Tribolium castaneum: one gene and its partners. The protein of the gene in region 1 interacts with the protein of each later gene in a pairwise test. Links are inferred from orthologs where the notes say so. Each region holds a gene or a part of one and is shown on either strand. Other genes may lie near its edges.

Region 1 (4,231 bases):
TGGTGGGCAACTTCGACGAGGCGTCGAAGGCGGAGGTGGCCAAGAAGGAGGGGGAGGACAAGCCAAAAGAAAATTAATCCTGTTTATGCTTAGTGGGCTCGAATCTATTGCTCCTATTTTTATGGTTTTGAGGACACATTTCGTGGTATTTGGTGGAGATGTGTCTGCTAATCTTGTACCAAATCCTTTTTTGTTAAACATTAGACACGCAACTTGTATAGAATATTTCATAGGAAATACAAAATATTCTAATACAGATTTGTTATTTCTTGATGAATCTCTGTCCAGTGTAATTAACAAGAAATGCTTACCACCGTAAGCCACACAATAAAAACCCAAAAGACATCTGAAGGAGTTTATTTTTAGAAAAGCCGTTTACTGCGTTGTTAGCTAAATACAGGCTAACCGCTCATGTGGAGTTGATTAAAAATAAGTACAATGGTGATAAAGATAGGCAAAAATTTTAAAGAGCAAAGTTTTAAGGATTACGTCAATGTTAATAAGTACATTTGGGTTAAAAGTGCTATAAAAATTAACTGTTTTTATAATCATTTGGCATCACAAAAATTGCTCTCTTTTTATTAAAAACTGCCTGATTTATTTTAGAAATCTTTTTTTTTAATTTTTGTACTCATGAAAGCCTGGGCGTAAGGGGCATAAAATAAATTGTTTAGTGAATAAACAAAATGTGAATAAATGTGCTGAAAGAGAAATAAAAGTGATAATCATCTAGGCCATAAATAACAAAACCACTAAAATTATTAGCCTGCATTTGAAAAAAAAACGCAATTCAAACCAATGTATCTTTGTGGAGGAACCACGAATCTTTATTTTTTTAATAAATATTTTTTCTTTTTTATTAAACCTTTTTTAAACTCTAGTGTGAATTTATTATGAAAGGCCGACCTATATTCTTCTATTTCAATTTGTTTTTGTTATTAAATTTTACGGAAAAAAATTTTTTTTTTGCCAGGACCGGGATTCGAACCTGCCACACAAATGAACAAGTTAGCCACAATTTTGAATATTGCTAAGCCATTCCCTAAAACTCTGTAAATTGTGTTATAATCATGACCATTTTGGGTTGTATTTTATTTTAATAAGGCTTAAATCTTAAATTGGGTGAATTGCTGTATGTGTATAAGGACGATGAATTGATAAGCTGTTTTATCTATGGCTTACGTAAATCGTGAGTAAAAGAGTAAAATACCTACTTTAAATAATTCAACTGCAAAGTTTTACTTTATTCGCTAAGTTGAGTAATCTTTAATACCAACTTCAGTTTAAAAATGGATAAAGTTGGTAATTAATAAGCAAAAAATTCAACAAAATAGGACTCGTTCTTTCGGTGTGAACGCACCTTTAGTACCAATTTAAAAAAACGATAATATTGATAAAATTAAGGTTGTTCTTAATGATTGCGGTCTGAATTTATATTTTTTACTACCGGCTTATCACATTAATGTTATCACGACTGATCACGAGCGTCCAGTTCCGTTATTTTTCCATTAAATTACGAAAATCGCTGTGGCTGCGCCCACCTACCGCCATTGTTGATTCCATATTTAAAAAGTGACAATTCCATGTTTGACACGTATCTTTAAAATCCTCTTCAAAATAACACTCATTCCTCAGTAAATCGTCCTGAGATAATAAGTGAAAATAAATATCAAAGAATTCGCGTGACAAAATACCAGGAAAAAGATGACTAATGGAAGGATGACGTGAAGTAGGTTACAAGTAGCAGCGGTGAGGTTGTGTTGGTGTTGCTTGTTGCTGTTCAGTTAGTTAGGACAGAAAAGCACAAGTGATTATTCTTTACAATTGGTCTGGAATAGGACCGTCACTACCCGTTCACAGTTTGCTTTTGTGACCACCGGTAAGTCAAAATCTTTGAATACACCCCGGTGGGGTCAATGACTGGTAATGCAATATACGCCGGCATTTCCCCGCTTTCCAGCCGAAAATGTCGAAAAAACCGACCACTCAGCCAGCCCTGCACAAGGTCATCATGGTGGGCAGCGGAGGCGTCGGCAAGTCGGCCCTAACCCTCCAGTTCATGTACGACGAGTTCGTCGAGGACTACGAGCCCACCAAGGCGGACTCCTACCGGAAGAAGATCCTCCTGGACGGCGAAGACGTCCAGATCGACATCCTGGACACTGCGGGTCAGGAGGACTACGCCGCGATCAGAGACAACTACTTCCGCAGCGGCGAAGGCTTCCTGTGCATCTTCTCCATCACGGAGGACGAGAGCTTTCAAGCCACGCAAGAGTTCAGGGAGCAAATCCTGCGGGTGAAAAACGACGAAAACATTCCCTTTTTGCTAGTCGGGAACAAAAGTGACCTTGAGGACCGGCGAAAAGTCTCGTTTCAAGAGGCCAGCGACAGGGCCAAGCAGTGGGGGGTGCCCTACGTGGAGACTTCGGCCAAGACGCGGGAGCACGTCGACAAGGTGGGTCACGCTAGCGGTTCAAGTAATTAGAGGCTTCAGCGAGACAGAAAATAAAATAGGACTGTTTTTATGACCGATAGTAATCTAATTTTGTGGGAATATTAGTCATGCTGTAAAACAATAGGTCAAAGAGCAGATGTTTTCGTACGGTTAATTGAAACAGTTGGGTCCAAAAGCAAAGGTGTTTTTGGATTTGCTGCAAAAAAACAGTACGGCATAGTCAAAATGAGGGCGTTTTGAGCGTTATACCGTCTCGACGCCAAATTAATTTAAATCCAACCAATTTACTAATTACATGTAAAGAAATAAAGAAATGTTGAACTTTGTACTTTTAACAGACTGAAAATAATTTTTTTATAAGAACATGAGAAACAAAATGATTATTATTAAAATGTCTTACTATTGAGATTGTAATGCTCTACCTGCCTGTATTTTTTTGTTTGCTATGAGTTAACCCTTATCGCAATAATTTTTTTTTTAATTTCATTCAATAATGAAATCGTGGACGTGCACGTTTTATTTGTACGTTGTCACATCCTAGCTTTTAGATATCCGTATACTTTTTTAATGCCCCGAGATTTCTGTTTTCACGTATTATCTATGTGGACTATTTGATAAATGCTATTGACCTTTTAGGTTTTCTACGACCTGATGAGGGAAATCCGCGCCCGCAAAATGGAAGAGAACAAGACAAACAATGGCCGAGGCAAAGACAAAAGTAAAAAGAAGAAATTAAAATGCACCATACTTTAGAGAATGGCAGAACGTTATGCTTAAGAAATAGTCATAAATCGTTTTATATGACATGAAAACTTTGTATGTAATATATGTATTTGTATGTTTGTATTTCATATCGAATTTTAGTTACATTTCATAGGGTTATGGCACTTGTTTAGCCACCATTGTACCCTCACTTATATTTTTTAATCTACTTTTGTTATGATAGTTGTTAAGAGTGTACATGTTCGTAGTTTTAAGAAATAATTTATTTTCGAACTGTTTATTATTGTGTGAAACAACCTAGATTTTATTACACATCATTTACATCACCAGTATTTCTATGTTTATTTTTCAGAAGGGTTTTGCACGATAATTTCAGTTCTGTTTTGCTTTTAATCTAAGTTATCGTAAGAGAAATACCATTATTTAGCAATATGTTATTGGAATATTTTCGCTACAAAATAATCAGATCTGTAAATCTACGAGGGAAGTATATTTTCATACTTTTCACTAAGAAGATTTCTGTAAAGTGTACTGCCATCGCAATATGTTATAATAAAATTTTACTCACATTGGACATTTTTTTCAAATTTTTCAATTTTCAAATAACTCAACTACGATGTATTAGCTGTTTCAACATCGCATTTTCTCTCAAAAATAGCTGTTATAAATTTTTCAGGCACTTCAAGGAAATAATAACCGATGTAATTTATAGTTTCAATGAAAGATCTATAACTATTTTACAATCATATCAATATTATTGAAGAAAATGATTTGGTAAATAGCGACTTTGGCGTTTTTATAGTTTTGAAACAGCTACTAATTTTTAGCCACCCATCTGTCAATAGTGTCAATTACCTAACCTAATTTCATACTTTAAAAAAACCCGCATTGTGGTCGGCTTGTTAAGTTTTGTTGTACATATTTTTTATATTTATTTATTTATGACATACGAGGTCGTATTAAGAAGTTTTAATTTGTAAAAAATAAACATGAAGATAATGGGAGCATTTTATTTGTGAAACTAGAACTGAAGATTTTTTTATGTGAGTGTTA
Region 2 (4,028 bases), on another chromosome or scaffold:
TATCAAGCACTGATGTTTGTATAAAAATGAATAACTGATGTATAAAAGTGTAAGTAGATTTGCGCAAGTGCCATTGCCTTAAAATAACTGACAGTTTCATATTTTTCTAGTAATTACAAGATGAAGCTATGCAACGCAATATTTTTTAAATGTCAGTGGAGACCGTATCGGTTCTATTATTATATAACGTGAATGATTTAGTCATAAAGTTTTGTGTGAGTTTGATGGTTACATTAATCAGTTGTATTGTAATGACTGCGCTATACTTTGTACATACATATGGGCTCACTCCACAATACTTTCATATATAAAATCTAAAAAATAGGCTGTTTCGTTTTCGCTTTAGTGTGTACCAATATATTAAGCATTATGTAGCTGGGCTACACGTATAACTGCTTAGCTGAGATTTCTTAAGGTTGGTTCATTAGAAAACAATACAATCAATGTACGTTTAGTTGAGCTAAGAATGTTTGCACTTTTCATTGAAAATGGCAATCATACGATGGTAAATTTTACTTATTTACTTAAGGTATGCATTTCCCCAAAAAAATTTAGTTGTAATGTTGTTTCAAGACTATAGATAAACGCCACTCGCCAACTCGTTGTTCTAATACCATTTAATGACACAACCACCGTTTCTTTTGTTATTATATTATTGTTTTTTTTTTGCGCGTAGCCTCGATCTAAAGTAGGGACTACTCTTTACGTTGTTACATTGCCGGATTTTCTTTCACTCCTCCCGTAGTAGGGACTACTTTTTACTTTGTTACGTTGCCGGATTTTCTTTCACTCCGCCCGTAGTAGGGACTACTTTTTACTTTGTTACGTTGCCGGATTTTCATTCACTTCTCCCGTAGTAGGGACTACTTTTTACTTTGTTACGTTGCCGGATTTTCTTTCACTCCTCTCGTTTGATCTAGCTTGAGGATATTTATAAGTTGTGTTAGGACCCCTTGACAACTGGTTTAGGGGCAAGACTAGACAAAGGTGTTGTTACTTGAAACTCTGTTTTTATTAATACGACTAAATCCCATTTGTTTTATATTGTTAACAGTTTTAGGTGTCAACTACTCTTGATATATTTTTATAATGACCTTCCCTTTGGTATGTTTATGAAAATGTAAATCATAGGACAGGCAAGGAGTTCTTTTGTATGTGTTTTCGTAATATTGTATTTAGAGTACTAATTCATCATTTTAAGATAGTTGAAAATCTGCTTTTCCGTCTCGCCTGCAACCAACCACGTGCAATCGACAATTGATTGCAGGCGAGACGAAAAAACACATAAATCTTGTGATAATTAAACGTTTTTTTTGCTCAACTCCTTGCAATTTATTACATAGTTAAGTTAGTTTGTAAAGTGTGTTGTGGAAGTGTGGTCAAAGATTTGTCTTCCTGTAACACGTAAAAAAAATTAAAAAAAATTACAAAACTAGCTCGTCTTTTATTTCGAATCTCCCGGTTAAGGCGGCCCTCAACACCAGTTCCTTCAAGAGATGGCAGGGCAAGCACCTGTCATATTACACCACTCAGATGACTTGATTTGTGTTGTTTCTGTTTTATCCCAGCTTAACATGCTTAGCAACAAATTCCCTTGGGAAAATAGTGTCATAATTATTTATTAAAAGTTCAAACCCAACCGTGTCAATATGGATTTTGATAGCCCCGACGTAATGAAGGATTTCCCAGGCTTGTACGCATCCGAATTAAATAAGCAGTGCAATAACGACAGCGACTGTAATAATAAATTAAGTGAACCACTAATTCCCGATTAAAACTCGTTTCTAGATAGTGACGAAAATGAGAAAGTCTTGAAAAAGGACATTCTCATCGGAAAACGCAAAGAGAAGAAGGATAAAGACAAAGGTTATGCCGCTTTAGAAGGCGAAAGTTCAGCTGATGAAAATTTCAAGTCGAGGTAATCACACCTGCAATCACTCAAACCCTCACTGGGATGTTTCAGAAGCCCGTCGAAAACAAAAAAAGCCAAACCGTTCAAATTCTCCACCAAAGCCAAAGAAAAACGGGACAAATCCCGCGAAAAAGAGAAAGATCTCGACAAGAAGAAAGACCGGGATAAGAAGAATGACAAGAAGCAGGACAAGGAGAAAGTCAAGAGTGAGAAAACGAAGAAACTCAAACAGTCAATTGACGAGACCGCTGACATCGGCGGTGAGAACTCTTACATAATGACAATAAAATTGGAATGAATTGTTCGTTCCAGATATTTTACCGATTTTCGGGGCTAGTTTAGACGTGGCTGTTGAGAGGAGCCGGTGCCATGACGGTGTAGACATTCCTTTACCCATTCGGGAATGTATAGACTATGTAGAAACCGTAGGTATGTCGTTCGAAGGCATATACAAAATCAGCGGAACAAAATCAAAAGTTCTCCAAATACGTAAAATGTACAATCAGAGGGGCAATATCAATTTAAATGACTACGACCCTCCAACCGTCACAAGTTTAGTAAAAACCTATTTAAGGTAACCTTTTCTTAGGTGTAACATGATGGGCAAAAACTCTTTGCAGAGATTTACCAGAACCACTTTTTACAAACGACCTTTTAATACGTTTCGAGGAAGCCGGAGCCATCCTTAATCTCAACACTCGCGAAAAACACTTAAAAATTTTAGTGGACCTTTTACCTCCCCACAACAAAACGCTCCTCGGCTGGCTCATCACCCATTTACACAACGTTTCTCTGAATGTGAGTGCCTTAACACCCCAGCCCCCATAGTATAGCGCGTTTCGCAGGAAAAATGCAACAAAATGAACAAACAAGCCATTTCCACAGCCCTCAACCACACCTTCCACTGCTCCTCGCGCCTCCTCCACGCCCTGCTCCACCACTGCCTCGCGCTCTTCCCCACAATCACAATCGCGCGCTACGTGCCCCCTCTCGAGTCCGGGGCCAAGCTCCCCGAGGAGCCCCCCGAGATCGAGACGGAGCTCAAGAAGCAGGAGTCGCTCCTCACCCAGATCCACAAGGAGATGAACGTCTGCTGCATCTCGAAGCAGCGCGAGGAGCTCCTCTGGGAGGTGCAGAGGATCATCACGCAGCTGAAGCGCAAGCTGAAAACGGCGAACCGCGACAAGGAAGCGGTCGAGAAGGTGGAAGCCCCCGAGCCCGAGGCGCAGCCCGAGGAGGCGGCCAGCGAGGAGGAGTCGGAGCTGGACGGCAGCGTCGCGCTGCTGAAGTTCAAGAACGAGGGGCTGCTGCTGCTCAGAGACTCGCTCCTGAAGGACATCCAGGCGGAGCGCGGCCAGATCGCCGTGCTGCGCTCGCAGATCACGGGGGAGGTGCCGCCCGTGGCGATGGTGCCCAACGAGGACCTGGACGAAGTCATGGACCTGTTCCTCAAGGAGAACCAAATTTTGCAAATCAAGAAGATCAACTTGGTCCGCCAGATCATCGAGGAGCAGGAGATGTGCATCGAGCTGAGAGCGCAGATTTTAGCCAAGTCGTAATGTGTCCAGTATTATTGTAACTGTATATAATAAATGTTCAAATTGACGCTGGGTTTAAATTTAGGTAGACTTGACATTGGAGTGGGCCTAAGGTTACGGTATGCAACTAGCAATGCGCCTGAACTAAGCCAACAGGCGGCGCTAGCACTACTTAAGTCGAGTATTTTTACATGTTTTTGTGCGTGTTGTTTTTATTTTTAGTGGGGAGTGAGTTCGTACTGTTTCATGTCCGATATTATTTTAGAATAGGAAGTGGTTGAAGGTGTTTAATTTTTTAATTGTTATTTGTTGGATTTTTACGACCGTCCCTTGTGATGTTTGCTGGCGTTTGGCAAAGTCAATAAATAAGATAAGGAGTTTCGTTAGTGTTTAGTGTGTATACATTGCTCATTTTATTATATTGTTATAAGTCACATTTTGAATCGAAGCCTCAAGGGACCATCTCGTGGTAAGTCTTCTGTGACCCAAAACCCCATTTATGACTCCCACGTCAATAACAATCATAATCAAGTTTGCTCAACTTTTGATTAAATTGTCGACTTTGTTTACACAGATGA
Region 3 (2,319 bases), on another chromosome or scaffold:
CGACAATTCAAGATTTGTTGTGTTGTTAATTAGCATTTAAAATCGCGACTTTCACTTTTTGACCTATTTCTGACAAAGAAAAAAATTAGGGTAAATTAATAAATTGCCCTGAGTTATATCCGACCATAATAAAGATACTTATGGGTATAATTGCTAATTTATATGTATGAATGACTGAGATTTAGAACATGAACTAGCGTTTTTTCAGCTGAATTACTCAATAATAATAAATAGTAATGTCATTAAAACTTTCACAATCTCATGTAGGCTGCCACTTCGCGCAAATATCCCACTTTTAATTAAATTTTATTTTACGTCAAAGGCGCACATCGCAGCCTTTTTTCACAAACTCGTAAAATTATAAACCTGTTCCACGCCTTGGCGCCTTGTCTTAATTTATGTCGAATAGCCAAATTGTTGTTATGTAACGCAGAAGCGATTTTTCCCAATTGTCAACCGCCGAAAACACGACATAAACAATTATTTTTAATAATACTCATAATAATGATTGTTTAATGAATACACCCTGGCATATGCAACCAAGAATACACCACCCGAGAAGTGAGGGAAGACAAAAAAAACATTTTAAATAAGTTAATCTTTTATTACATTTTACACAAAATTATTGTACACCCTAGAACAAAAGTTAACCACGATAAATTACAACTGAAACTGTACACGAAATACACCCTATTATTACTTCGTCTTCAAGGCATCTTACTTTATGTACAAATAGTTATTGGAAAAATAATGAGCAATAGAATCACAGTTACTAAGCTTGTCGAGTTAATGAGATCTTTTCTTGACTGGCCCGTTTGCGTGTGACGTTAGACACAGGAGTTGTATCCTCATGCGGGCCCTGCACTGTCTCAAAATATCCTGCACCACACTGGAAAAAAAGGATAAGCTACACACAAAATATTTAATTTTTTGCTTAAAATATAAAAGAAATAACGTGTACAAGGAAGAAAGCACACAAAGAAAAAAACGCACAAGGAAAAAAGATAATAATTAATAAATAAGCTAATAACTGTTGTTAACCCTAAACAAGCAGAGAAAAACTTACGTGGCTTCGGAGTTTTCAAGCGGAGGAATAATATCTAAAGCTTCCTGAAAGTAGCTCCGAGCTTTAGGTGTCGAGTAATGGTCGAAAAAAATTTGCAGTGCGCTTATGTCGGCTCTGGCTTGTTGTGCCCCGCCTTTGCTAAACTTCTGAACACAGGACATCAGTCGGTATAACTCTTCGGCTATCGTTAGGACTACTTGAGGAAGTACGCTTTCTAGTAGAGAAGACGAAATACTGTTAACTTCAGAGTGGACATGGATCACGTTATTGATGCACTCCTTTGCATAGGGCCTTATATTATTGGGGGTTATTTCAATGTCCCAATCAAATCGGCCTAAATACATTGAGGGTTCGATTGTGCCAACTAAAGGATCACTTTTCTGTTCCAAATACTTCTCAAGGATCGTTTTTTCGAGCACATCCAACTTATCTTTGGCGTTTTTGACTGGCGTTTCCGGTGCCGGGAAACCACTCTCCTTGAACTTCCGTAAAATGGTGTCAAAGACCACGTTTTTGGCATAGAGGCAATTCGAGAGTGTTATTAAAAGACGGTGCTCCCAAATCGGCATATTATTATTGGTATAATTCGTTCTATAGCCATTGATCGGAGTTCCGATTAGTTGCGAGACGACAGGTGACGTATCCTCATCGTCATCACAACTCTCATCCGACGATAAATTGTTCAAAACGTTGTGAAACGACACTAAAACTGCTTCGATCTGTTTATCCAACTCTTTATGCGCAGTCGGATTTTCCAAGAGAGGTGTTTCGCGCTGCTCCGTCGATAAAACCGATTCCTTAACGATTTGGATCACGTCTTGGATGATGCGCTCGAATTTGATTGGCTGGAAGAGGCACATGACGCGAAACTCGCCAATCAAATCAAAATATTGAGATCATACTTTTACACACTGTTCCGAAATGGTTGTTCAAGTCAAGTCACCTATGAAATTTAAGCGTAATGTGCCGCTTAACACAACAAAAATCACGGAAATACAAAACACAAATCAAGACAAAATCTACAGTTAGAACAATTTTGCCGAAAAAGGCAAAAATGATCTGATGAACAACCATTTTTGAACACATTGTATTATGATAAGTTACAGTGAAGCATTTAAAAACAATTAGTCAATGAGTTTTTTGTATCATAACTTTGTTTCATAATTATTAACTTACAATACCAAAACAAGAACAAGAACATTTCTTGATTTTTGTAAAACACTAGTCGTTTTATACCAGAATAAACATTTTCA

What was found.
Region 2: the proteins of Rala (region 1) and Rlip interact in a two-hybrid assay, tested with the Drosophila melanogaster proteins (6 studies listed by BioGRID). The link is inferred for Tribolium castaneum from reciprocal best matches to the Drosophila melanogaster genes Rala and Rlip.
Region 3: the proteins of Rala (region 1) and Sec5 interact in a two-hybrid assay, tested with the Drosophila melanogaster proteins (2 studies listed by BioGRID). The link is inferred for Tribolium castaneum from reciprocal best matches to the Drosophila melanogaster genes Rala and Sec5.

Annotation. Positions count from the first base shown.
Region 1 is NC_087395.1:14,770,631-14,774,861, forward strand, and holds Rala (ras-related protein Ral-a), read left to right. Parts: upstream 1-1,404; 5' UTR 1,405-1,879; intron 1,880-1,960; 5' UTR 1,961-1,966; coding exon 1,967-2,455; intron 2,456-3,091; coding exon 3,092-3,208; 3' UTR 3,209-3,752; downstream 3,753-4,231. Other genes in the region: bic (transcription factor BTF3 homolog 4), read left to right, coding at 1-77.
Region 2 is NC_087403.1:3,536,279-3,540,306, reverse strand, and holds Rlip (ralA-binding protein 1), read left to right. Parts: upstream 1-1,507; 5' UTR 1,508-1,649; coding exon 1,650-1,737; intron 1,738-1,788; coding exon 1,789-1,918; intron 1,919-1,963; coding exon 1,964-2,172; intron 2,173-2,224; coding exon 2,225-2,486; intron 2,487-2,532; coding exon 2,533-2,710; intron 2,711-2,757; coding exon 2,758-3,471; 3' UTR 3,472-3,517; downstream 3,518-4,028. UniProt on the Drosophila melanogaster protein: Participates in receptor endocytosis during interphase, is also involved in mitotic processes when endocytosis is switched off.
Region 3 is NC_087403.1:223,838-226,156, forward strand, and holds the end of Sec5 (exocyst complex component 2), read right to left. Parts: intron 1,912-2,319; coding exon 1,067-1,911; intron 890-1,066; coding exon 787-889; 3' UTR 584-786; downstream 1-583. UniProt on the Drosophila melanogaster protein: Component of the exocyst complex involved in the docking of exocytic vesicles with fusion sites on the plasma membrane.